Xenopus tropicalis: one gene and its partners. The protein of the gene in region 1 interacts with the protein of each later gene in a biochemical or structural test. Links are inferred from orthologs where the notes say so. Each region holds a gene or a part of one and is shown in the gene's direction. Other genes may lie near its edges. The genes, in order: mapt, fyn, gsk3a, dyrk1a, lck, camk2a and mark1.

What was found.
Region 2: of the proteins of mapt (region 1) and fyn, one has a biochemical effect on the other in vitro, tested with the Homo sapiens proteins (10 studies listed by BioGRID and IntAct, with this or other methods). The link is inferred for Xenopus tropicalis from reciprocal best matches to the Homo sapiens genes MAPT and FYN.
Region 3: of the proteins of mapt (region 1) and gsk3a, one has a biochemical effect on the other in vitro, tested with the Homo sapiens proteins (4 studies listed by BioGRID and IntAct). The link is inferred for Xenopus tropicalis from reciprocal best matches to the Homo sapiens genes MAPT and GSK3A.
Region 4: of the proteins of mapt (region 1) and dyrk1a, one has a biochemical effect on the other in vitro, tested with the Homo sapiens proteins (2 studies listed by BioGRID). The link is inferred for Xenopus tropicalis from reciprocal best matches to the Homo sapiens genes MAPT and DYRK1A.
Region 5: the proteins of mapt (region 1) and lck form a complex in vitro, tested with the Homo sapiens proteins (2 studies listed by BioGRID, with this or other methods). The link is inferred for Xenopus tropicalis from reciprocal best matches to the Homo sapiens genes MAPT and LCK.
Region 6: of the proteins of mapt (region 1) and camk2a, one has a biochemical effect on the other in vitro, tested with the Homo sapiens proteins (2 studies listed by BioGRID). The link is inferred for Xenopus tropicalis from reciprocal best matches to the Homo sapiens genes MAPT and CAMK2A.
Region 7: of the proteins of mapt (region 1) and mark1, one has a biochemical effect on the other in vitro, tested with the Homo sapiens proteins (4 studies listed by BioGRID). The link is inferred for Xenopus tropicalis from reciprocal best matches to the Homo sapiens genes MAPT and MARK1.

Annotation. Positions count from the first base shown.
Region 1 is NC_030686.2:17,244,518-17,248,017, forward strand, and holds part of mapt (microtubule-associated protein tau), read left to right. Parts: intron 1-1,041; coding exon 1,042-1,125; intron 1,126-2,990; coding exon 2,991-3,041; intron 3,042-3,500. UniProt on the Homo sapiens protein: Promotes microtubule assembly and stability, and might be involved in the establishment and maintenance of neuronal polarity.
Region 2 is NC_030681.2:76,827,943-76,831,442, forward strand, and holds part of fyn (tyrosine-protein kinase Fyn), read left to right. Parts: intron 1-1,217; coding exon 1,218-1,294; intron 1,295-1,452; coding exon 1,453-1,606; intron 1,607-3,500. UniProt on the Homo sapiens protein: Non-receptor tyrosine-protein kinase that plays a role in many biological processes including regulation of cell growth and survival, cell adhesion, integrin-mediated signaling, cytoskeletal remodeling, cell motility, immune response and axon guidance.
Region 3 is NC_030683.2:107,331,719-107,335,218, reverse strand, and holds part of gsk3a (glycogen synthase kinase-3 alpha), read left to right. Parts: coding exon 1-119; intron 120-2,195; coding exon 2,196-2,279; intron 2,280-2,622; coding exon 2,623-2,733; intron 2,734-2,956; coding exon 2,957-3,087; intron 3,088-3,191; coding exon 3,192-3,298; intron 3,299-3,500. UniProt on the Homo sapiens protein: Constitutively active protein kinase that acts as a negative regulator in the hormonal control of glucose homeostasis, Wnt signaling and regulation of transcription factors and microtubules, by phosphorylating and inactivating glycogen synthase (GYS1 or GYS2), CTNNB1/beta-catenin, APC and AXIN1.
Region 4 is NC_030678.2:12,501,150-12,504,649, reverse strand, and holds part of dyrk1a (dual specificity tyrosine-phosphorylation-regulated kinase 1A), read left to right. Parts: coding exon 1-69; intron 70-145; coding exon 146-292; intron 293-1,961; coding exon 1,962-2,102; intron 2,103-3,036; coding exon 3,037-3,343; intron 3,344-3,500. UniProt on the Homo sapiens protein: Dual-specificity kinase which possesses both serine/threonine and tyrosine kinase activities. Exhibits a substrate preference for proline at position P+1 and arginine at position P-3.
Region 5 is NC_030678.2:86,451,373-86,454,672, reverse strand, and holds the end of lck (tyrosine-protein kinase Lck), read left to right. Parts: intron 1-56; coding exon 57-188; intron 189-1,519; coding exon 1,520-1,722; 3' UTR 1,723-2,800; downstream 2,801-3,300. UniProt on the Homo sapiens protein: Non-receptor tyrosine-protein kinase that plays an essential role in the selection and maturation of developing T-cells in the thymus and in the function of mature T-cells. Plays a key role in T-cell antigen receptor (TCR)-linked signal transduction pathways.
Region 6 is NC_030679.2:21,001,538-21,005,037, forward strand, and holds part of camk2a (calcium/calmodulin-dependent protein kinase type II subunit alpha), read left to right. Parts: intron 1-1,182; coding exon 1,183-1,255; intron 1,256-2,071; coding exon 2,072-2,174; intron 2,175-2,554; coding exon 2,555-2,638; intron 2,639-3,470; coding exon 3,471-3,500. UniProt on the Homo sapiens protein: Calcium/calmodulin-dependent protein kinase that functions autonomously after Ca(2+)/calmodulin-binding and autophosphorylation, and is involved in various processes, such as synaptic plasticity, neurotransmitter release and long-term potentiation.
Region 7 is NC_030681.2:10,521,341-10,525,531, reverse strand, and holds the start of mark1 (serine/threonine-protein kinase MARK1), read left to right. Parts: upstream 1-1,391; 5' UTR 1,392-1,795; coding exon 1,796-1,846; intron 1,847-3,426; exon of another isoform or gene 3,427-3,505; intron 3,506-4,191. UniProt on the Homo sapiens protein: Serine/threonine-protein kinase. Involved in cell polarity and microtubule dynamics regulation. Phosphorylates DCX, MAP2 and MAP4. Phosphorylates the microtubule-associated protein MAPT/TAU.

The DNA of each region.
Region 1 (3,500 bases):
ACCAGGCACAAAAACCAATGTTTTTTTGCCCATAATGTACTAGTATAGGGTGCAGAGATTAACAACATTAATTTGCAGGTAATTATGAATAATATATGGTGCTGGTTTCACTTTGGGCTAAAAATGAATCCGATCTGTAATAATGGCCCCTTTATTGGAGCTCCCTATAGATCCTATCCTGTCTGTCCCTGTTTCAAATGTAGAGTGGGCGTGTCCTAACAGTCCCTGCCAAAAGCACAGCGGGAGGGGGATAGCCAATCACAGCCCTGCAGTCACACAAGCAAAGACAGGCTTCATTTCCCTATCAGGTCAGCCTAGCTACTGATTGGTTCCTATGCTACAGTGCAGGGTACTGAGGGACGCCGGCTCCCCTACACATCTAGACAATTCAGCCAGCAGGAAGTGGAACAGATGGGTGGGACTAGTGGGGTTTTGGTGGAATTTCTCAGTCATAAACACAACTTTTTAAGCACAATCCTTCTATACTTAGAGGAGTATAATTCACTGGTATTTTCTTAATTTTTATATGATATGTCTACTATGTGGTTTCAATATAGTGTGTGTCTCTAACCTTCATATAAGCTGAGGGGTGCCTACAAAGGGGAGCTTAAACCCAGAATGTTGGGAAAAGCTTTATATTAATGTTTTAATAAATTGTGTGTTGGTAAGTATAAGCAGAAACCTCTCCCCTATTATAGCCCTCAAGCTTCTGCTCCATAAGGTAAAGAAAGGCTCTGGCAACAACTTCTGTAAAATGAAATTGTGGTTATATTGGTTTTTAGATATGGTAAGGTATATAAGGTAAGACTTACAGCAAATAACAAGAAATGTGGGTATAACACTTCACTAAATGGCTAAAATTCAGCAAATGGATAAATATTGTTAGTGAGTAGTTGCACATACCAAGTCCATGGCAAGTCACCTTGTATGTGTGATATTGTTCTAGAACCCCATGTTTCTGTGTTGAGAGAGAGAGAGAACAAGAGAGTCTGTTTTAGCACAAATCATTTATAAGTGGTCTCCTTTATTACCCTCTCTTAGATGCGGCCTCGGTGCAAGAGGATCTAGCGAATGGGGAAGCAGTGAGAAGCCAGGGCCATGCAGGGATCCCTGAGGGAACAACTGGTAAGGCAACAAAGCTGGACTTTCATATTTTTAAATTTTAAAATTGGCTGAATATCAAATACACTACAAAAGCTTTGACTGAATCAAATATATATATATTCAGATTTGAGAAAAATCCCATAAAAATGCATCATGGGAGAAGAAACTTCTCTTTCAGCTGTCCAGAGCTTTAAAGTCACATGAATTTGGATTTGGGCTGGGCTGAACTTCATCTGAATCCTGCAAAAAGTGATACATTTCCTGAAGAAACCTACACTTTTTAAGGCATCCCCCAGTGATTCTAACTTTTTTAAAGATTTCAAAGATGTGCCAAACCTGAACTCATGCAGAGCGTACCTGGGAGCCTAGGGCAAGAAATTGCAAGAAATTAAGGAGGTTAGCAGTTAGAGTCACTGAGCTGCCTCACATTTTGGCCCCAATGTTTCTTTCTTCTTTGAGCCTCTGTAAAACATGATCAGATCAACATATGTGTTTCGAATTATGAATGTATATTGCTATGGGAGTAGATATGTAGATATAAGGGTTTCTAAAGCAACATGAACATAGAGGTTCTTAAGGAGATTTGATTGTACGCAGCAGAACTACAAGAGTACAAGCTGCAACGTTACAGAGTCAGGTTGGACAGTGTTAAAGATCATAGCAACTTGTGCATTTAATAAGGGGACTTAATATAGTACTTGCATTAAAGATAGAAAGCAACAGCCTCAAACAACCAGTATCTGTATTATCTGGGCTTTTCTAAGCTAAAGTATAAAGCTAGGCTGCCAATGGGATACTGCTTGTGGGAAAGGCCAGTTAGTGATGAGCGCTATAGTATGTATAGTATACGCTTTTTCCTTACTGTCCATACTTCTTTGTCAGGTTTTTAAACATGTCGGTCAGCTATCTTATAACAGTCTAAATGTTCAGCCGAACTGAACCTGAACCCTTAAAGTAATTTTACTTTAAAGCTCTGAACAACTTATTTTTCTAATTTTTTTTTCTCAAATTTGAAAATGCAAATCATGGCTTGAGCAGTATACAGGCGATCCAAAAATGATGTGCATTCTTATTAATATAGAATAGTAATCAACCAGTGATAATCAATGTATTATAAGAATTATTATGAACAATTAATAAGTTACCAATACTTTTTATTCTATATTATTATCAACAAATGGATTGATTTGATACTAATAAAAGCATATGTATCATTCTTCCCCAATTACAGTCTCTAATGGTCACTATTCATGATAAAACTCACCCACTAGACAACTTTGTTGGGTCATTGCACATAACACCACTCACCAGGTGGCAATAGAAATTGGCATTCATTTTGGCACAGCAAGTGTTTCAATGTCAGCCATTGATAGAGCTCACAGAGTCTGGATTTAATAGTGGGTGGATACTCTGCAATTAGTAGAAGTGCTCCCAGTTTATCAAACAGCAATTGTTTTTAAAAAGTAAATTTTTGGCAGAAAAGTGCAGAATAGATTCCCACGTATTTCAGATCCCAAATGGATTGTAGGTTCCTTGAGAAACAGTCTGGATAACTGTCATGCTTTAAGTTTCTGGATGGAGACTGAAGTATGTCACTGGGGACTATGGGCATATGGAAATAGGTGAGATGCCTGTTCTACACCCACTTTTACTGTTTATTGTACAACCAAGTCTAAAAACCGCCACCTGTTGCCCTTATTGCATGCCAAAGGAATCACTTTACAGAAGTTGTAGCTGTTGTTGTAACACCCATCATTCCCAACTTCTGTCAGGTGATCCCTGTGGTGCACAATAAACATGGCAACCGTTAGTTGCCATTGTATTTACAGCACAGATGAAAACATAATGCGCACATATAAATGTCCCTTTATATGTCTGTCCTACAGCAGAGGAAGCTGGCGTTGGGCATACCCCCAGTCAACAGGACCGTGCCGCAGGTAATGCAGGTGCTAGTTAGAACTATGTAAGCCATGAAAACTCTTTCCTACTATATCTTCTCCAATCCTCGTGATGTTGCAAGGTGATAATATGGCAAAAAGCAGGTTCATTAGGCTTAGTCTTTGTACAAGTACAGACACTCAGAGACACAAATACACTATAATTGATATGACACAACAATGCAGGTTTCCCAGAAGGTGTCTTCTTATAGTAGGTCTGGAGGATACACCTGTTAGTACAGATCCAGATGTCTGAGGTGTGCAATTATCCTTACCTTATTACCCATTACTGCACCCTTTGTTAATAGACAGAACTATAGACAGAGTTCTAAATACCCTCAGGTAAACTGCCAGAGTTTATTGCCCTGTCTTTCCAGTTCTGCTGGAGTAGCAAACAATCCAGGAAAGGCAAACATAGTAATGGTTCCTGCTAAATAGGACAGGGACATAGATCATGTT
Region 2 (3,500 bases), on another chromosome or scaffold:
CTGACATGCATAGGGGTATTAATGTGGGTTTCATTGCTCTCTTTGTGACGGGGAAGATGCATATCATCTACAAGTGCAGATGCATGCCTTGCAATATCTGGAAGTGCTTGACTAGCAGAAGTCTTCACTGTGCATGGCCTTCCTTTAGTGTAAATAGCCATTACACTGCATTACAGAAGTGTATATTTTCTGGTTGCTGCTGTTGGAATAGGCTCTCTTCTGCTAGTATTTACAAGACACATTCTGGTTCATGTAATGGATGGAACTATATAATAAGCGTTTAGGAGTAAGACCCACAGTGATGTATTTTTCTTCTGCATGCCAAGTGAGCCCTGCTCCTACAGCAGACACCTCAGGCACGTACGGTAAAGGGTTCTTTACCTGAGCATTTGGTGCGGAAGAGTAGTATGGGTAGTGTCACTTCATACCTGAACAGGATGCAGCAGATATCAGCTGCCTATCTGCACTAAAGGATGAGATTTTTGCTTGACAATATTATACCTTAAAGGAAAACTATACCCCAAAACAATGTAGATCTGTATAAAAATATACTTCTTAAAAAGATCATATATAAAACCCTGCTTCATCTAAATAAACATTTTCATAAAAATATACTTTTTAACCCCCCTTCCCTCCCCCCAACCCCCTATGCGACCCCAACTTTACTCTTTCTATCTTCCCCCCACATGTTTTATATGTAACCTACCTTGTTGTAAAACAAAAATTAAAAATAAAGTTTTAAAAAATAAATAAAAATATATATACTTTTTTAGTAGTATGTGCTGTTGGGTTATCCTAAATAGAAAATTGCCATTTTAAGAATGAAGGGCCGCCTCCTGGGATCATAGGATTCACAGTGCACACAAACAAGCCAAGGCACACTTACATGCTAGGCCCCATCAGCCAATTAATGGACAGAGTTCTGCCTTTTGCCTCCACACTTCCTCCTGTTACAGTGAGAGCTGCATTATTTCCGGTCATGTGATCTCTGAGGGAGCACACAGCCCATCACTAAATGGTGGATCAAGGGAAAGCATGTAAAAGGGCAATATTTACTGATATATATACATATATAGATATATACACAAGCCTTGGGGCTCCCCAAAGACAAATTCAGCTGTTGTTAGGGATATTCTTATATATCCTATTAATACATCTGGAATTTCTAATTTAAAAAAGTAATAAAGTTGGTTAATTTGAATATTGTTCTAATGCAGGTAGTTTACTAGATTTCCTAAAGGATGGAGAAGGAAGAGCCTTGAAGTTGCCAAATTTAGTAGACATGGCTGCCCAGGTACAGTAAAGTTTCATTATTAATTAAGGTCATCATTACTCAAACTGCAGTCTAAGCTTCATTAATCAACTCCATATTATTGAATTTATTTTTATTATTGCCTTTTTTTACTTACTGTTGCAAATTTATTTACTAATGTTTTCTATTTTTACTGACAGGTTGCTGCTGGCATGGCTTATATTGAGAGAATGAATTATATACACAGAGATTTGAGATCTGCAAATATTTTGGTTGGAAATGGCCTTATTTGCAAAATTGCTGATTTTGGCCTTGCTAGATTGATTGAAGACAATGAGTACACTGCAAGGCAAGGTATGAAAGCCATGATGATGTGCTTTTAAAGAATGGTAACAGGAACTTGGAAAGCAGTATGTAGATTCATTATCAATATGTATTACATATAAAAGCAATCGTACATAGAGTGATTTCAGGCACTTTGGTGCTGCCAGTAGCTTAGTCGTTGGCATATAATCATCCCCCCCCCCCAGTGCTTGTGTAAACAATTGTCAGGTAGCTGTCTCTTGTAAAATTGTCAATCTGCAAGATGCAAGACATTGCCCAAGCTTAATTGGCTTCCTTTAAAAACACACAAATAACACTTCCATGTTTTTTGAATGTAGTGGGAAGCTGTTGTAGCTTTCTATAATACATTACATCCTCCTATTATGGAGGAACTCAAAGATAAGGCTTGTCATAACTAGTAAGGTCATTTCTATACTGTACATCAGACCTACAGTCCAAACCAAGCACCATTCCTGCAGTCCACATTTTGGTTCCTGCCTGCACCATTGCTGTTTGGTTTCTGAATCGGGGCTGTTTAAAGGAGAAGGAAAGGCTAATAAAGTGTTAATTTCAAGCTGCAGGCATACTTTCAGTTCTCTCAATAGTGCCCTTAAGTCTCCCCATATTTTGCCTATTCAGCCTCATAGGAAAAAAGAACCCTGAGCTTTGTAAAAAAATTCCCATATTGCCACGCTCCTGCACCAAGACCATGACCTCTGTACATGCGTAGTTTGTAAGACTATGAGGAAGCTTCCTGCTGATTGGCTCAGATCCACATTCCTAAGGGCGGGGGGGGGGGGTTGTTAGCATTCTTATGGGAGAGAGGAGAGAGCTGTGCAGACTCTGGCACAGAAAAAAGTAGACAAGAAATCGTGTATTTCTTTTGATAGACAACTCAGTGCATTAAGTGCTATTTACATAGACCATTCTGATAAAGCTTACTTAGTTATTACCTTTTCTTCTCCTTTAAAGGAACAGTAACACCAAAAAATGAAAGTGTATAAAAGTAATTACAATATTATGTACTGTTGCCCTGCATTGCTACAGCTGGTGTGTTTGCCTCAGAAAGACTACTATAGTATATATAAGTAAGCTGCTGTGTAGCCATGGGGGCAGCCATTCAAGCTGGAAAAAAGGAGAAAAGGCACAGGTTACATAGCAGATAACTAGTAGATAAGCCCCATATAATGGGGGTTTATCTGTTATCTGCTAAGTAACCTGTGCCTTTTCTCCTTTGAATGGCTGCCCCCATGGCTACACAGCAGCTTACTTATATAAACTATAGTAGTCTTTCTGAGGCAAACACACCAGTTGTAGCAATGCAGGGCAACAGTACATAATATTGTAATTACTTTTATACACTTTCATTTTTTGGTGTTACTGTTCCTTTAAGGCTCTGGGCAAAGATCTTGTTGAATAGCAAAAAAATTGACCATGCCTACTTTGTGGCCACAACTTTAAAAACTATACCTATTTCACCAAAACATATCCCAGAAATGGATAATGAGCATATTAACCCCATCTGTTCCAGTTTAATCACTGTGTAGAAATGACCAATGAGCACTCCACACACGCCAGCAAGATCAGTAGATACAGTGCAAGCATTACATGCACTTGCTCAAGCAGAATACCAATAGCAAAGTTTTCTTCTTTTCTTGTGCTCCCACGCTGCTTGGCTTTCTCTCTCTGCCTGGCTTAAACACTTGTGAAAAAACCCAAGATGGCCATGCATTCCACAGTGCAATGAATTTCCTGAAGAGCAGGGAAGAACATTAACGCTGGGTGAGGAAGGCAGCAGCATAGGGGGGTAAAGCTGAGAAGGAGGGAAAAAAAGACATAGTGGCAAAAATATAACAGCTGCAAAAACATAAACATTCCAGCTGTTTAAAATCTCATCATATTTCATACAGTCGACATATTCTAT
Region 3 (3,500 bases), on another chromosome or scaffold:
CTTATACAGACATCAAAGTCATTGGTAATGGCTCCTTCGGGGTGGTATACCAGGCTCGGCTGGTGGGCTGTGGAGAAATGGTGGCTATCAAGAAAGTTCTACAGGATAAGAGGTTCAAGGTAAGAAGATGGAAAATTTGGTTACTGTGTGAGAATGACATGTTAGCTTGTAGTGATATTTTGAAAACCTGAAATAAGGTTCATATTGCATTGCTCTCATCTTTTTCCACCTAGGCCCTTGGGCCAATGATCAGATCATAATGAGGGCCTAGGCACATTGTTAGAAAGAGGCCTTGTTAAAGGGGCCAGAAGCTTATAGCAGCTCATACATGGGTACATACTCTGTACCAGTAACCAGATGCTCAATCACTTTGTGTCCCAAAGCCCTAGGGCAGGAATCCCCATCCAGTGGCTCACAAGCAACATGTTGCTCACCAACCCCATGGCTGTTGCTCCCAGTGGCCTCAAAGCAGGTGCTTATTTTTGAAATCCTGACTTGGAGGCAAGTTTTGGTTGTATACAAACTAGGTGTAATGCCAAACAGAGTCTCCTGTAGGCTGCCAGTCCAAAGAGGGGCTACCAAATAGCCAATCACAGCCCCCAACTCTCTTTATATTTGAATGTGGCTGACGGGTAAAAAAGGTTGAGAATCCCTGCTCTAGGGCACGTGAGGAGACATTTGCTTCCTTTCTTTGTCATTTAGTCCATTCTGGCTAGGAACCCATCTTATTTTTACCAGTATGGAGAGTGCTGGTGTAATCCGATAAATGTGGTAAGTCATTACATAAGCCAGTCTGATAACCATATTCAGTTTTTCCCACTGTTTGTGCAGCAGTTTTCAGCATTTAGTGCTTTTGATATCTCGGTACCCCTTGAGTGCACTGACACTAAACAGCAGTACAAAACCATACATTTAAAGTGCCAAACATAAGTTTGTTCTCTATGTCCAATAACGGTTCCAAAGAGTAAGCCAACCCCAATAAGCCATTTTTTTTTTAATTGTAAATGTATATTTGTTTTTAAAATCAAGAACCATTTAGGAAAAGGTAAAATCACTCTATTAAATAAATTCATGCAAAATTAAAACTCAAAGCATTATAACAAGGAGAGAATTATACATCTCACTTGATGTTTCCATGAAACAAATATAAGGTGTACATAGAGGATTGTGGCCTGGGGCTGTTCAGCTTCTGGGGGTTATCAGGCTGGCCTGCTCTTGTGCAAGTCATGAGAAATGAGCTGAGTCAAATAAGTGACTACATAGTCTAGTTAAATGTTAACTTTCCTCTTAGTTACAGACTTGGCAATTACGGGGCTTAGTTGTCTGTAGGGAAAAGTTAAAATTGCTCAAGGCCTGGGCAGCCATTTAACAGGCAGGGACATGAAACAAGTGGAGGATATGTGCTGAGCCATTATGGCGAATAGAATACAGGGCTTAAGTCACTGTGCCTGAAAATAAACATGCTCATTGTGTGTTATTTAGGTATAATGTGTAATTAAAAAGTGTATTAGGCTCGCAGATTAAGAAAATCCAATGCGATTCCATTGGCAAAAAAAAACAGAATCTGATCCATGCATCTGAGTAGAATGGAGCACTTTGGCTTTTCTCCATTTGCGTAGAAAACGAAGGCACGGCCATGTGCGCCATTAGCCTTAGTAGTGAAGTGTCTGTTTTGACTTCATGCATGTTTATTATATATGGGTGCCTCCATGGTAAGTACGGCAGTATCGGTAAGCTCCAACTCATTGCTGGCTGCCTTCAGCAGAATGACTGACTTAATCTGTAAATGCACAAAAGCTTGGATCAGGGAGAGCGAGAAAGGGATTAGTACTGGCACTTGCAGGGTTAAGCATTTTTCTTTGGAAACTTTTGTCTGCCTGCCTGTATATGAAACTATTTGGGTACCACATGTAATAAACACTCTAAAAATACACACTCTAAACGGGGGAGTGAGACTTTCTTTCTTCCAACAATGCCTGGATAGAATACAGACAATAGCAGTATCTGTTGGATAAATCCTTTTCAAGGTTAAGTTTTTTTTTTTTTTTTATAAAATAACCCTATTTTTGCTCACTGTCTGAATATCTATTCAGCACAAGGCCAGTGCAATTGTTCCTGTTTAATAGGGGCTAGGTTGAATTGCTTATCCTCTGTAAGTCATGTCCTCCAATTAAAATGTCCCTTTCTTCCTACAGAACCGGGAGCTGCAGATCATGCGCAGGCTGGATCACTGTAACATTGTGCGCCTGAGATATTTCTTCTACTCCAGTGGGGAGAAGGTCTGACTTTTCTTGTATTCCCTGCAGACAGTCTGTACAGCTGATTCTGTTCATGTACTTGGACATAACCCTTTAGTTAACCCCTTCTTTCTGCCAATGTAGGTAGCTAATGGATTTGTGGCTTTCCAAGTCACAGATAACAGAAGGAAAACCATTACTTCTTTAAACATAAGAATAAATCTTTATTTGTGCTTGATTAAATGCTCCTCTGTTATAGAACAACAGATCAAATCAGCACAACTGTACACTGATGGGCATTGTTTCTTTTGGGTTCTTTAACCGTACACTAGATTCTGTTTAAACTTTGACTCTTTGTAACTGTGAGCTTCATCCTTTTATTTAGAAAGACGAGGTTTACCTAAACCTGGTCCTGGATTTTGTCCCGGAGACTGTCTATCGTGTAGCTCGTCACTTTGCAAAAGCCAAAACCTCATTACCGTCCATTTATGTGAAGGTGAGAAAACCAATAAAGATCCTCCACTAGAAAAATGCTATCTGGGAATGCTGGGCTATGTAGAATAAGTTGCCCTAGAGCCTCTTCTTTGCTACTGAATCAGAAGTAAACGTGGGAGCAAGAAATAAGTAAAGCAAGCTGGGTTTCCCATGCCAGTGTTTCTGTAAATAAGTAAATGCCATTTTTATGCCTGCTGATGAGCTTCTTTCCACTTACCATTTAGGTATACATGTATCAGCTGTTCCGCAGCTTGGCTTATATCCATTCTCAGGGTGTCTGTCACAGAGACATTAAACCACAGAACTTGCTGGTAGATCCAGACACTGCTGTACTTAAGCTTTGTGACTTTGGCAGGTGAGTGCCATGCGTTTTTGTGTTTTGTTTTTTTCTCTTGCCCTTCTGTATATCTAAGCCTGCTGCTGTACGTTTGGATATAAACCATTCTTTCTCACTTTCAGTGCAAAGCAGCTTGTTCGTGGGGAGCCAAATGTGTCCTATATATGTTCGAGGTATTACAGAGCCCCAGAGCTCATTTTTGGAGCCACAGACTACACTGCAAATATTGGTGAGCTATCTAATATTGTCATTTGCTATTTAAAGCTATAATATATTTTAAGTGGTTTTAGTAATATTGACAATTTAACTATAGCCCTGTGCACAACCCATTTTTCTACTTGGCCTATATGTAGCTGACCACAGGTCTAAATTACTACATGTGCCCTCCCTAATAGAACTAGGGGTTCTCTTTGTAATTGCAGTTTATAATT
Region 4 (3,500 bases), on another chromosome or scaffold:
CTTTGTAACCCAAAACGAAGCGCCATTAAGATTGTGGACTTTGGAAGCTCGTGCCAGCTAGGGCAGAGGGTAAGGATTGGCTCTTGTTCCCACGAAACCGAGGCCACGGAAGCCAATCGGCTTATACCTTGTTTCTTGTCCCTAGATATACCAGTATATTCAGAGTCGCTTCTACCGGTCTCCTGAGGTTTTACTAGGAATGCCTTATGACCTTGCAATTGACATGTGGTCCCTTGGCTGCATTTTGGTAGAAATGCACACTGGGGAGCCCCTCTTCAGTGGAGCCAATGAGGTAAGGCAGTAGCAACACTTTTATTTTCCTTTTGTAATGCGCCATGGATTTAAATTGGTAGATCACTTTTATGCTGTCATGCTCACTTATGGAATGGGGTGTCTGAGACAAGGGCTGCCACCTCACTGGCCCCTCACCCAGTTGCAAAGTCTGCATGCCTATACCCACCCACTGCGTGCACCCCCCACCCCTGTGTGCTGTGTCACGTTCCATTTACTTTTGCCCACGATCCAGGGTTGGGGTGGAGCGCCCAGAGTCCGGCATTGAGCTGGCCCCAGGGCCAAACGATTGAATTAGCCTAAATTCCCCCGATATCGCCCACCCATAGGTGGTGTGCTACATATTACTTACTTCCCTGAGGTGGCCTAGGGAATGCCCCCCACCTTGCCACTCTGAATTTAGTTTTTTTGCGCTGGAGGGGGCCGCGTTGCTAGTGCAGACAGCACAATAGCACTCTCTGCACCAGAAGAGCTGAAATTTCAATTCAGGAAATCCGAATTTTGGCTCTAGAGCGGCTGATTTAGTACCAACCAGCAGGGGAAAAACTCAGTGGCTCAGCAGTGATTATTACATTCTCACGCTAGCTGCACTGGTTTCTGAGCTGCCATGTAGTAATTATCTGTATTAATTACTAATCAGCCTTATATTGTGACATTTATACTTGGTATATACAGTATATAGTGAGTGGGCCCCTAAGCTCAGGTTATACTGTGATATTTATATTCTATATATACAGTATATAGTGAGTGGGCCCCTAAGCTCAGGTTATACTGTGACATTTATATTCTATATATACAGTATATAGTGAGTGGGTCCCTAAGCTCAGGTTATACTGTGACATTTATATTGTATATATACAGTATATAGTGAGTGGGCCCCTAAGCTCAGGTTATACTGTGACATTTATATTGTATATATACAGTATATAGTGAGTGGGCCCCTAAGCTCAGGTTATACTGTGACATTTATAGTGTATATATACAGTATATAGTGAGTGGGCCCCTAAGCTCAGGTTATACTGTGACATTTATATTCTATATATACAGTATATAGTGAGTGGGCCCCTAAGCTCAGGTTATACTGTGACATTTATAGTGTATATATACAGTATATAGTGAGTGGGCCCCTAAGCTCAGGTTATACTGTGACATTTATATTCTATATATACAGTATATAGTGAGTGGGCCCCTAAGCTCAGGTAAGTGCCAGCAGCACAGAGTATGGGCAGGGAATCGGCAGAAAAGGAGATGGGGGGCTACTGGGGCAATCTTAAGGAGCAAAGATCTTCCCTGCTAAAGGGCTGTGGGGGCCTGGGGCTGGTACACAACCCCCCAAACATAATGTACAATATTTCCTTCTTTATTTAAGCTTTAGTTTTCCTTTAAAAGCCAAATGAGTTTAGATGCTTACAGTATGCTTAGAATAGTCCCCACTAAATCTGGGCCTTTATGGCCACCTATAAGGCTACTGCCTCCCAAGTTTAGTCCTCCCCACAGTTTGCAATTCTGTGCCCTATTCGGGTCTTCCCACAGACAGTCACATATATGGGATACCCAATATAAATAACTTGATGATGGCATATTTGTTTTATGGTGCCCCATAATTGTAATGGGTCACTTCATCATGTGTGGGTTCTGCCTCGACTGACTTTGCTTTTGTCGCTTGGTAGGTTGATCAAATGAGTAAAATTGTGGAAGTTTTAGGAATACCACCTGCTCACATCCTTGACCAAGCACCAAAAGCTAGAAAGTTCTTTGAGAAGATGCCAGAAGGCACTTGGAACTTAAAGAAGACCAAAGATGGAAAAAAGGTAATTTGCTAAATTCTATGGAATGGAAAAGGAATCAACGGCTTTGCATGTTTCTAATGAGGTTTAAGCCCAAAAGGCACATTTGGTTATACAGTGCAGTCCCTGCTCTTTCTGTATAGTCAATATACATGTATAAAACTGTCACTAGATACACTGGGTTGTATTATATGTATACAGCTTAGCACTCAGTTCCCATCAGTCCCTGCCCCAGTGGAACTTACAAGCTAAGGTCCCTATCACATTCCCATCAGTCCCTGCCCCAGTGAGCTTACAATCTAAGGTTCCTATCACATTCCCATCAGTCCCTGCCCCAGTGAGCTTACAATCTAAGGCCCCTATCACATTCCCATCAGTCCCTGCCCCAGTGAGCTTACAATCTAAGGCCCCTATCACATTCCCATCAGTCCCTGCCCCAGTGAGCTTACAATCTAAGGCCCCTATCACATTCCCATCAGTCCCTGCCCCAGTGAGCTTACAATCTAAGGTCCCTATCACATTCCTATCAGTCCCTGCCCCAGTGGAGCTTACAATCTAAGGTCCCTATCACATTCCCATCAGTCCCTGCCCCAGTGGAGCTTACAATCTAAGGTCCCTATCACATTCCTATCAGTCCCTGCCCCAGTGGAGCTTACAATCTAAGGTCCCTATCACATTCCCATCAGTCCCTGCCCCAGTGGAGCTTACAATCTAAGGTCCCTATCACATTCCCATCAGTCCCTGCCCCAGTGGAGCTTACAATCTAAGGTCCCTATCACATTCCCATCTGTCCCTGCCCCAGAGGAGCTTACAGTCTAAGGTCCCTATCACATTGCACCACCATTTTTAAACCAACCCATAGTTATTTGCTTGTTTATTTTGTTTATAGACAAATACTGTTGTGCCTGTATATCCAGTGCCAGCAAGTTGTTAACGGGAGTCTGTGTTATTACTCTAGGAGTACAAACCACCGGGAACCCGAAAACTTCACAACCTACTTGGAGTAGAAACTGGAGGACCAGGTGGCCGCCGAGGCGGGGAATCAGGTCATACTGTAGCGGACTACTTGAAGTTTAAAGACCTCATTTTAAGGATGTTGGATTATGATGCCAAGACCCGTATCCAACCCTATTATGCTCTGCAACATAGTTTCTTTAAGAAAACTGCTGACGAAGGTACAAACACGAGTAACAGTGTATCAACGAGTCCAGCAATGGAGCAGTCCCAGTCATCAGGAACCACCTCTAGCACATCTTCTAGCTCGGGTATGAGGATTTGTTCTCTAGCACCCAAATGTAGCACCCACACCTCAGGAAACTCCTTACTGTGCATTCTTAAGGTTACTAACGCTCATTTAGTATGGTTTAATTTGTGTTGCTAAATGCTGTTATTTCCTTCCACAAAGTCTCTATAAATCTAAAG
Region 5 (3,300 bases), on another chromosome or scaffold:
TTGCTGAAGAATGTTAGTTAGTTACTGTTACATAATACCCAAACGTTTCTTCACAGGAGCCAAATTTCCTATAAAATGGACAGCTCCTGAAGCCATTAATTATGGCACTTTCACCATCAAATCAGATGTGTGGTCATTTGGTGTACTGCTAACTGAAATTGTCACTTATGGAAGAATTCCATACCCAGGTGAGTAAAGTAGTAGGCCAGGTTTTCTGAAGGTAAGAATGTAGAAGAGCAATGTGGATAGTTTTTGCATAATATAATTTTCTCTTTCATATATTGTGATATTGTAACCTTTTAAGCTACAAAAATAGCCCTGATTTGTTGTAGCTATAAATAAAATACAATTTACAGACAAAGATTGTGTTATTCTCTCATAATTCTCATTATTTTTATGATTCTCATAATTTTATGAGATTTTAATTTGCTGTTTGACCAGAACATTTCCACAGCACATTTGTAGATATATATTTTGGAAGGGTAAGTGCCCAGAGTTTTTATTCTATCTATGAGCGGATAACGGCAGACAGCAATATTTTCATAGATAATAGCCCTACATCTATAAAGGCATGTCCAGCTCCTAAGACATGGGCCAATACCAAAGAATGAACCATAAAATTACAAATTATTTGTGCAAACATAAAATATTGATAAGGGTAGTCACTCTATTTGCCAAATGATGTCAAAAGGCAAGGTAGGTGCCACATTGAGGTAATTATGCATACACAGCTTATTAGGTCTCATTAAAACACCTTGGGGCTCAATTATCCACACTGGGCAAATGTGTGTAACTGTGTAGTAACCCATGGCAACCAAATTTTTGTTTTCACATTTCTACTTCAATGCAACTCAAAAAAGATAATCACTCATTGGTTGCTATAAGGTGCTATCAACATAAACAAAAATCTTCAGCACACCCCTTACATACATGTTCTCAAAGGGTGCTTAACTTCCACAGCCGCTCCCAAGCCTTTTTTCCATGTATCTTTGCAAAGGGGAAGAAGCACCTGAAGAAGGGGTCACCCACGAAAGCTTGTGCGGTTTGTTCATTTCTGCAAATAAATGATTTAAACGCATTGCCGACACACTGGAGTGCTTCTTTGCTTTGCAAAGATACATGCTATAAGAATTCTGAAAGATGTAGACAGTGGTATTATTTAACATTTTATTTAGCAGATCTCCAGTTTAAAACTGAAACTCTTATCTGGTTACTTACCCAAGTTACTAGGTAGTTGTGACAGATAAATAATAAATAAATAAAAACAGCTGATGAATGAGAAAAATATATGATCAAAGAATCAAATATCAACCCAGAGGATTAGTGACCAGTGAGCATTTAAAATGTTAGACTGGAAAGAAGTAGAACAGAAAGACTATATAAATAAATACAAACTAAAGACCAGTTGCAATTATCCTAGAATGTCAATGTCTACATTATACTATAAGTTAATTTTAAGGTTGTTTTTTAAGTCAGTAATTAGTCAGTATGCCCCAGTAACTGTTCTTTCTTGTGCCAGGCATGACTAATCCAGAGGTTATAGAAAATCTGGAACGAGGTTATCGTATGCCTCAGCCAGACAACTGTCCTATGGAATTGTATGAGCTGATGCTTCGTTGTTGGAAGGAGGAACCTGAGGAAAGGCCCACGTTTGAATTTCTACGATCCTTGCTTGAAGATTTCTTCACAGCTACAGAGGGCCCATATCAGTCTCAGCCATAAGAAGTGTGCTCTGATAAAGCATGTCAGAAAACAAACTGATACCAGCTTTATGGGTCATATAAAACCCAGCATCAAATTAACCTTAAGTAGGGAGAAACCAAGGACCCCCCAAAATAGTTCTGAGCTGGTACTGTCTGATGAGATGGCACCTTAGTACAACTCTGGATTTGGGACCTACAGCTATAATTTCTGTAGATCAAAGAAAAATTATGCCCACTGTGCCCTCTAAAAACAGAAGGTGATTTTAGGAATCACTTCATGTTCAGAAAACTGCACACTTAAGTTTAGGTATGAATAATTGATATCTCAGATATTTGTATCAAGTGTCAAACCACATTGGGGCCTTTACCACACATGACACTGACCCAGACTTTTAGAGGAATAGCTTAGGGCAAATATATTCAGCCATTCATACCGCACAACAATTAGTTGGAGGTCTCCTTCATCAGGTGAGTATAATTGTCAGAACCCCCATGATTACATCACATGCAGGGTCATGAATACATTCCTGCCCACAACTGGGAAGATATCACAACCTGCTCAGATAATAGAAAAGCACTTGAAATAACAATATCATCCCCATCAACAATTCACAAGAATAGTTTAATATAAGAAGGTGTCTATATTAAAGGAGTATTAAAGCCTAACTAAAGATACAGGCTATAAATGTTGTACATTATGTTTGGGCTTCTGTACCAGCCCAAAGCAACAAAAGCCCTTTAGCAGAGAAGATCTATTCCTCCATAGATACCCCATGTAGCTTCTCAACTTATTTTCTGCTGATTCGTTGCGCATGCTCTGTGCTGTGGTCAGTTACAGAGCTTAGGGATCGACTCACAACATACTGTAAATATAGTATATAAATGTCCCAATACATGGCTGATCAGTAACTGATGCAGATTCACATAACATGGCAGTCTAGAAACCAGTTTATTCTGCATCAGAACTTATAATCAGCCCTGTAGCATCACACGCTATAACAGACAAACCTCATGTTCTTCTTGTCAATTTGCAACAATCCCTAAGCTTAGCTTTTCAACAGCTGCCCAGAGCACACGAAGAGGTATATTTATCATGCTGTGTAAAAAGTGGAGTGAAGCATTACCAGTGATGCTGCCCAGGGCAACCAATCAGCAATTAGATTTCAACAGTTAGAAAACCAAAGCAAACATCTGATTGGCTACTATGAGCAACATCACCGGTGATGCTGTACTCCACTTCTTACACAGCATGATAAATATACTTCTAAGCATGTGCAGTGTCACTGACACTTCTAACAGATTCCAGTACGGGGACCCTCTGGAACAACCTTGAAGGCCTTGCTCATTACGACTATAGAGATGCTGAACCTTTAGGCTGGTTCAATAAGCCCAGTGTATAAAATATGGCATTTCTAGCAATACAACTTTTAGGGTTTAGTTATTCTTTAATAATTTTATTCAAATACTCACCTATTCATTTGTCAGTCTGTCAATGAAAACATTGCCTGATAGGCCCTAGTAATCAAAACAGATTTTAAACAAAAGAAACACCCACACACACAAAGAAGACAAATTGCAAATTTCCTGACACTGTCTA
Region 6 (3,500 bases), on another chromosome or scaffold:
ATATATATATATATCAGTAAATATTGCCCTTTTACATTCTTTCCCTTGAACCACCATTTAGTGATGGGCTGTGGGCTCTCTCGGAGATCACCTGACAGGAAATCATGCAGGTGTAACAGGAAGTAGTGTGGGAGTAAAAGACAGTCTATTAATTGGCTGATGTGACATAACGAGTATGTGTGCCCTTGGTTTATTTGTGTACACCGTGGGGCCAGCCTTTAGTATTTAAAATGGTAATTTTGGCTTACCCAAAGGAACTTGCTACTAAAAAATATATTTTTATAAACGTGGTTTATTTAGGTGAAGCAGAGTTTTACATTTGAGCTGCTTTATGCAATATATTTTTATAGAGAACTACTGGGTATGTTTGAGGGTATAGTTTTCCTTTAACAAGACAGAAGGCTGTTTTGGGTGCAAAATGCACACTATGCAGGTTACAAGCATACAAATGATGCCTCAGGCTGCAGATTACAGGACCAATTCTCATTTTATCTGGAAATGATTAAACCTACAGAGTAACTAAGCCAATCCTGGGGATTACTTTTTGTTTTTAAATGGCACAGGTCTGGACTGGGATTCGAAACAGATCCTGGCATTCAATTACACATAGACCCAATTGGTCAAATAAATAGTAACTGTCTATGGCATCTTAACAGCAGCCCCTCTGGCATTTGCCAGAATCCCCAGACTGCCAGTCCTGGCCTAGATTGGCAGCATTCACTACAATGACAGGGATTGGTTATCTTTGTAGACAATGTGAAATAACGTAAATCCCAATGGTTATGAAACCTGTGTTTCTGGGTAACCACTGAGCAGATATGCCAATTTTCCAATATTGCCCAATATGGTAAGACATCGGTAACTCCACCGAGGAAATGTAATAAAAGGCTCTAAGTTTCTGATTACATGTGTAAAAAAAAATCTTATTAGTTTCTATGGGTGACAGCACTTGGGCCTTTTATTATATATGGGGGGGGGGGGGGTACTGGTTTAGTATAGAAAAGTCAGGGCAAATGGCCATATGTGCTATTAGTGTTCATTAATGTGCAGTATTTTTCTTTTATTAATTAACCAAGGCCAAAGCCTCTAGCGGAGTATAGTATGAAACCTCTGGGACTGCCAAATAGTCTATTAACGTAATGAGAGCAATGTAATGTCCTGTTTTTGCTTTCTTTTTTGCAGCCATTGCATTCAGCAGATTCTAGAAGCAGTTTTGCATTGTCACCAGATGGGGGTAGTGCACAGAGATCTGAAGGTGAGGGTAGCGGCAGTATGAATCCAGCAGTTGCCTCTATACAGACACCCTTGTGTACATGTTTGCCTGCATCATTCTCTGGGTCTTTCCAGTTTTCCTCATTGGTCACACACCCCATACTCCAGTTTTCTTTCATCATGTTTCCCCTACACATTCTGCATACTGAGAGCATATTCCATTTCCCTGGTTGTATGATGTTTCTACATGTACTATATTGCAATAATGTAATAAAATTATTCCCTTGGTTCTTTCATCAGGGTGTTTCTACACCAATATCTACAACATGGTGTATGTGCAACTGCAGTAAAGAGCCATCACACACTCTGTTCTTTCATCACAGTCTTCCTTTTTAAATACCATACATACCAATTCATTCTGTTTTTTTACCCAAAGTGCAATTTTATACCAAGACTGTCCTTGGCTTCCCTCTGCCATAGCACTAAGGTGCACCTACATTGATCTTTTATCATGATGACTGCTGCACCTGCCATAATCAGGCCAAGCTACTTGAAAGCAGATTGTGTTTTTTGCCCATTCCCTCCTCAGTCCTTCAGAAAACAAAATAACCTACCACAACCCCAAGCTCAAAATGTTCTCTAAGCCGCCTGACCCTTGGACCTATGTCCTATGCACATCTCTATTCTAGGTGGCAGTTGGTAACTAGAATTCTCCAATTCTCTCCATTCTTCCCTCCATTCACCATGATATAAAAAAGTTGGTAGAACAGCAACAAACTCTTGCTGCAGTTTGCTATTTTATCTGTTTTAGAAAATTACACATTGTTTTAATTGTTTTCCTTTGTTTTCCCTTGCACAGCCAGAGAACCTTCTTTTGGCTTCAAAACTAAAGGGAGCAGCTGTCAAACTGGCAGATTTTGGGCTGGCCATTGAGGTGGAAGGCGAACAACAGGCTTGGTTTGGTAAGTGAAGTACAGAGCTAACCTTTGCTATTTTCTGTAAGGCCCACTGTTTATTGTGATATTATTGTAAAGCTCTACAAAATGTGCTGTCAATATATGCTGATGATAATAATGATATCCTTGCCCACCCAGACTATTACTACCAAGGAACAATTTAATGCTCAGTTCTCTTGCGAGATCCCTAGTACAAACCCGCAAAGTTCAAATGAAGGGTGATAGGATGGGGTCATTACAGATAATAAAATAAATACTACAAATATCTGTTATTAAATAGTACTTTATCAGTTATTTGTATTTTGTAAATTTTTGCCCTAAAAACCCTATCGAGGGGTCATGGCAGCATCATGGTTTGGAGACTGACATGTATCTGGTTCTCACAGGCTTTGCAGGAACGCCCGGCTATCTCTCCCCAGAAGTTCTAAGGAAAGACCCCTATGGAAAGGCTGTGGATCTCTGGGCCTGTGGTAAAGATTTTAACCCTTCCTGTTAAAAATGTCTACTGAACAAATGATTCTTTTTTTAACATTCCTAAGCAGAAACAATTTCTAAGTTAGTCTAAAAGATTCTTTTATTCATCAGAATGCAAACTCACAACCAACCTACTATTTCTTTTTAAAGACAATTATAGTTCTAAATAACTTGACCACATGCATTAAATTCAGTGCAGCTGACCATAAAGAATTGTTGATGAGGTTTAGAGGGTATAGATCACTTCTTATTCAATGCAGCTGATGCAAGACTTTTTAAAATTACAGTGGAACCACCAGGGGACCAGAAAAGATGGTGTAAAATCCAGGAAAAATTTAAAGCAGGAAAATGCATTATATATTGGTGGGACCACAAATAATAATGTAAAACGAGAGAAAATTTAAAATCAGAGTATGTAAAATTGAGGTTTTATTTTAGGTCACCTGCAGTACCAATGTATTCAGAGGTAACTCAGTTACATGGACTGCAATGAAGCAGTGCCAATGTGTAATAATGATATGTCGGGTGTATAGCTGTAAGGGGTGCCAGTCATCACTTTGACCATGCAGTACTTTTAGCCTGTTGGCCAGTCACTCACGTTCTGTTGCTGGTGCTGCATTCCATTGCTGCGGAACCATAAAGATCTTAGTTAAATTGCTATTATATATTCATAGATGATTCTGGCCCCCGGTAACCTGCAGGGACCTGCCACCTGAGGCAAGTTTCTCAATCCTATTTTATAAATGTGGGAGCAGTTATACGCATATAGTTTAAGGGTAAAGCAATATTTGAATACTGACAAATTTATTCTCTCTAAATCTTGGCTAGGGGTTATCCTGTACATTTTACTTGTTGGTT
Region 7 (4,191 bases), on another chromosome or scaffold:
GCTTATCTGCCCCTGTATGTGGATCCCCGATGGGCCTGCCAGACCAATATCTAGCCTAAAATTGACCAGATGTTGATCAGGCAGGTTTGATTTTCCCATTGGATCGGGGGCTGCATCGGCTTAGTGATGCAGTCCTTGCACTGATGGGTCCTATTCCCATCATAGTAATTCGACCATTTGGCCCGGGGGCCAAAGATCAAATTACTCTGATATTGCCCACCTTAGTTGGGCAAATCGGTGGAACGATCCCCTCCTTGGGTGACCTTGCCAAACAAGCCGATCCTATGGTTTAAGGCCACCGTAACCCAAAAATTATCCATGTAATCTGCCCATGACCTCCCAAAGTCAGGAGGGTTATCTTACCTGCAACCCAGGGATGCTTCTGTAATAAGCAAAGGTGAGAGCCAGAAATTCAGTTGTTTAATCAGAGAGCACAATTGCCCTCTCTGGTGCTAGAAACCCCCCCTAGATCCAGCAACGGGGAGGTCTGCATAGGGGATGGGTTGGGAAACACTGTGTCTGATTAGGTAGTAGCAGAAGGTCCAGTGGCAGTGCCAAAGCTAAGGGGTGCCCTAAGCAAGCCCATACCCCCAGTCACCCCACCTCAGTTAGGTATCTGTAGGGTAGTGGGTTAACGAGTGGGAGCAGCGATGTAGTGTGTGGGGCCCCACTGTCTGGAAGTCAAAATAGGCCCTGTCATTCCAAGTACACAGAGGCCCAAACAGCCCAATAGTGACTGTCTATGGCATCTTACAGCAGCCCCTCTGGCATTTGCCTAAACCCACAGATTGACAATCCGGGCCTGGCTGAACTAGGGATAGGCTGTATGTACCTACCCGCAGCCCAGTCTGTTGCACCCTATGCACATAGGCTTTGCAGGCATTTTGTGGGTACCCGACCAGACTTTAAGAGGTATAAAAAATATAATTATTACAGTGATCACAAAGCACTATGTTAATTCTTACCCCCAGAGGCGCCCTTTGACCACCCCCAGGGGCGTAATGGGAGTTGGAGTCCCTTAATAGCTGAGCACAGGGGGCTACACAACAATCTCCCTGTATTAGTGTTGGTGAAATCCTGTTCCCTACAATAAGTACAGGTTGCGGTTGGTCAGTTATTTTCCCTTCAGACCTTGGGAGAAATTATATTACTGTACCTTGCAGCCATAGGCTCTAATGCACCTCTACAACTCCCAGCACCCTTTGATCTCAGCACCCACCCCGCCCTGGGAAGATACACTCAGTAAATTATCTGTCCAAGGACGAGGAATAATGGGAATTAAACGTGTGCTAACTACAACTCCCAGAATCCCCACTCAGCAGCTGTCTCCTCTCCCCCACCCCCCCTGACAATGTGTCAGTTAATCCCACCCATTCCCTGGGATGATCCCAGTGGAAGCGGCAGTCCCCCAGCCGGCCTGAGGGGGGCAGTAGCAGGAGGAAGGGTTCGGGGTTGGCAGAGCCTAAGAGAGAGACCTGCTCCCACCATCCCTCTTCACTGGATTACTGGGACAGCACCTGCGGCTGGGAATGAGCCTAAAGGCGGCCAGGGGGTCCCCAAGCACCCCGCTTTGAGGCGGAGTAGGAAGAAGGATGCTGCTGCCGTCGCTGTGATTTGTCACACTACCATGCAGGCTGAGGGGCGCCCTGTGTGACCATCCCTGTCATTCCCACCATCTCTCTTTCCCACTCGGTTATCGCTATTACTGCACTGAACCCGCGGAGGGGGGAGAGGCCGGAAGGAAAGCCCGGGCAGGAGGGACTCGTCTCTCTCTGTATCTTTGGAGCCGAACAAGATGTCGGCCAGGACGCCACTGCCCACAGTCAACGAGCGGGACACGGAAAATGTGAGTATCCCCCCCCAGGGGGTCACTTGGTACAGCCTTGCAGATATTTAGGGGCCGGGCGGGCCAGAACATTGTATGGGGGAAGGGGGGGGGTCACTTTGCACAGTCCTAAAAATCCAAAGGGGTCAGGCGGGCTAGACCACTGCGAGTGGACGGGGGGGATATCCGCTTCCCCTTAAAACATGTACAGGCCACTTGGTACAGCCCTGCAGATCCATAGGCACTGGGGGAAACGCACTGAGTGGGAACCCTCGCCTCCCCGGAACGCAGCGCTGTAAGGGGGGGGGGGGGGCTGGGCTGTAAACCCCCTCTGTCTATTCTCCTTGTATTGCTGTGGGGCCGCCAGGGCTGCTGGGAAATGTAGTCACAGAAATTGCTTTGAAGAGATGCTGTTAGGGTAGGGCATTTGCCAGAGCCCTTAGCTGTGCCCTTTGGGAGGGATGCCGGGGGCCTACCCTTGTGATTGCTGGAGAGCTACAGGTTGTGGATCTCTATTGTACAGTGAGCTGCCCAATGTGGATATCATAGAGACTCCAGGGTTAGTGAGCCTGTATGTACAGCAAGGGCCACATTATGCCCAGTTGGGGTATATAGCTACTGTTGGTGCCAGTGTGTCTGCTTATTTATGGCACCTTGTAACCTATTTAATTGTGCCTTACACACACTGTATCTTGCCCTGCTGTTATATCTTGTGTGCCAGGGTATAGGGGATATGGGTGCCCCCCCTCATGTCCAAACCTGCGGACCCCATTGTTGGAAGGTTTTGCTGTCACTGCTGATGGCTGTATAATGTAGCTGCATGGCTGCGCGGAAACCAGCACAGTCGGATGCAAGAAATTGAGCAAAACGTCATGCAGCTTTGTATTAAAGGCAGAAGGTGGCAGCAAGCTGGCCCTGATGGTGTGGCCCAAACTGTCGGAGAGGCTGTGCCACTGGTGTAGGAAGCCAGAGTGCGGCCGAATATTTGGGGTGGTTTTACGACTAGGGACCATGGTCTGTATGAACTAGTCCTTAAATACCCAGTACTCTGTCACAGGGACAGAAATGGCTACCAATGTCTATTGCCAACCTGCCAGCCAGAACTGAAATTCTATTCATATCATTTCTCCTATAAGAAACAGCATAGTTGCCCCCTAGAATGCTGGGGCTTCTGGGAGTTGTAGTGCAACAAGCGGGTGCAGTATTTCCTGGTAAATCACAGAGAGGACTTGTGGGAATGCCGGAATGCCAGAGCTAATTACATCCTGAGGGATAAGGACAAAAGCCCTGTTTGTTTTTCCTTATTCCCCTGCAGAGGTGGCACACTGGGCTGACTCACATACAAACACTGGCACGGGCATCACTGGGAACTGCTGCTGATCCAACCGTTACATTTAGCTCTGCCCGTGTATTCCATATAATGCAACATCCCCACGTCCTCGGCTGCAAATGTTCAGCGCCCTGCGTTTATCCTTTCCGAGGCCGCAGCTGCTTTGTGCCTGACATTAAAGGGTAAATCAACAGATACCTTGCCAGCCTAAGCTGGGGAGGAAAAAAAAAGTCCATATTCTCCACTGTATGTCCTGTTATTGTGGGCTCACCTTGCCAGTTCCAGGATTGTCACCGTGTCACGTTTGGCAGAGGAAGGAAATACTTACGCACCGTTTGCCAGAGGTTCTCTAATCTGGTCTCGCAGGAATGCGATTGAGCCTTAATTAAACTCTTCCTACCCACACTTGTTTTTTTTTAATTAACCCATTTAATGCGCTGGAAAGAGGATGATGACGAGCTGTGCAAGGTGGAGGAATGTTGCCATTTAAATGCTCGGTGCCCCAAACCCCGTATCTATTTTACTACCTACCTTTATGGGGTTTTGGTTCAGAATACGGGAAGTCATCGGTTTGCTTCAGGGCATAATCATATCTAACCGGATCCCCTTTAGCTGCCATTGGATTTAGGATAAAATAACCTGTTGAATTTATTAAAGGGGCTTTGGGGTGCTGTTGGATTTACTCCGGTCATTGGATTTGGACACTGGTAGATAATCAAAATTGCAGCCATGGAGCACTTGTGCCTGTGGGGTTTGCTGTGCTTGGCACCTTGCTGTTGGTAATAGGGGTGCATGGGACATTTTGACTGCTGGGTGGAAATTAGCAGCTTTCATCCATTTATCAATGGTTCCCATGTAGGAAACGCGTTCGATTTTATTTAGTTATCCTATAAGGGTGAGTAGGTGGTGTAATATTGCACCCACATCAATAAAGAACCTGCGCCATAGGCTGTTCCTTTAGCTGGGTGTTAAATCTGACCCAAGGCAGGGTAAGTACAAGGATCTGCCTTCTCCTAATGGTTCTCCCTAGCTTGCC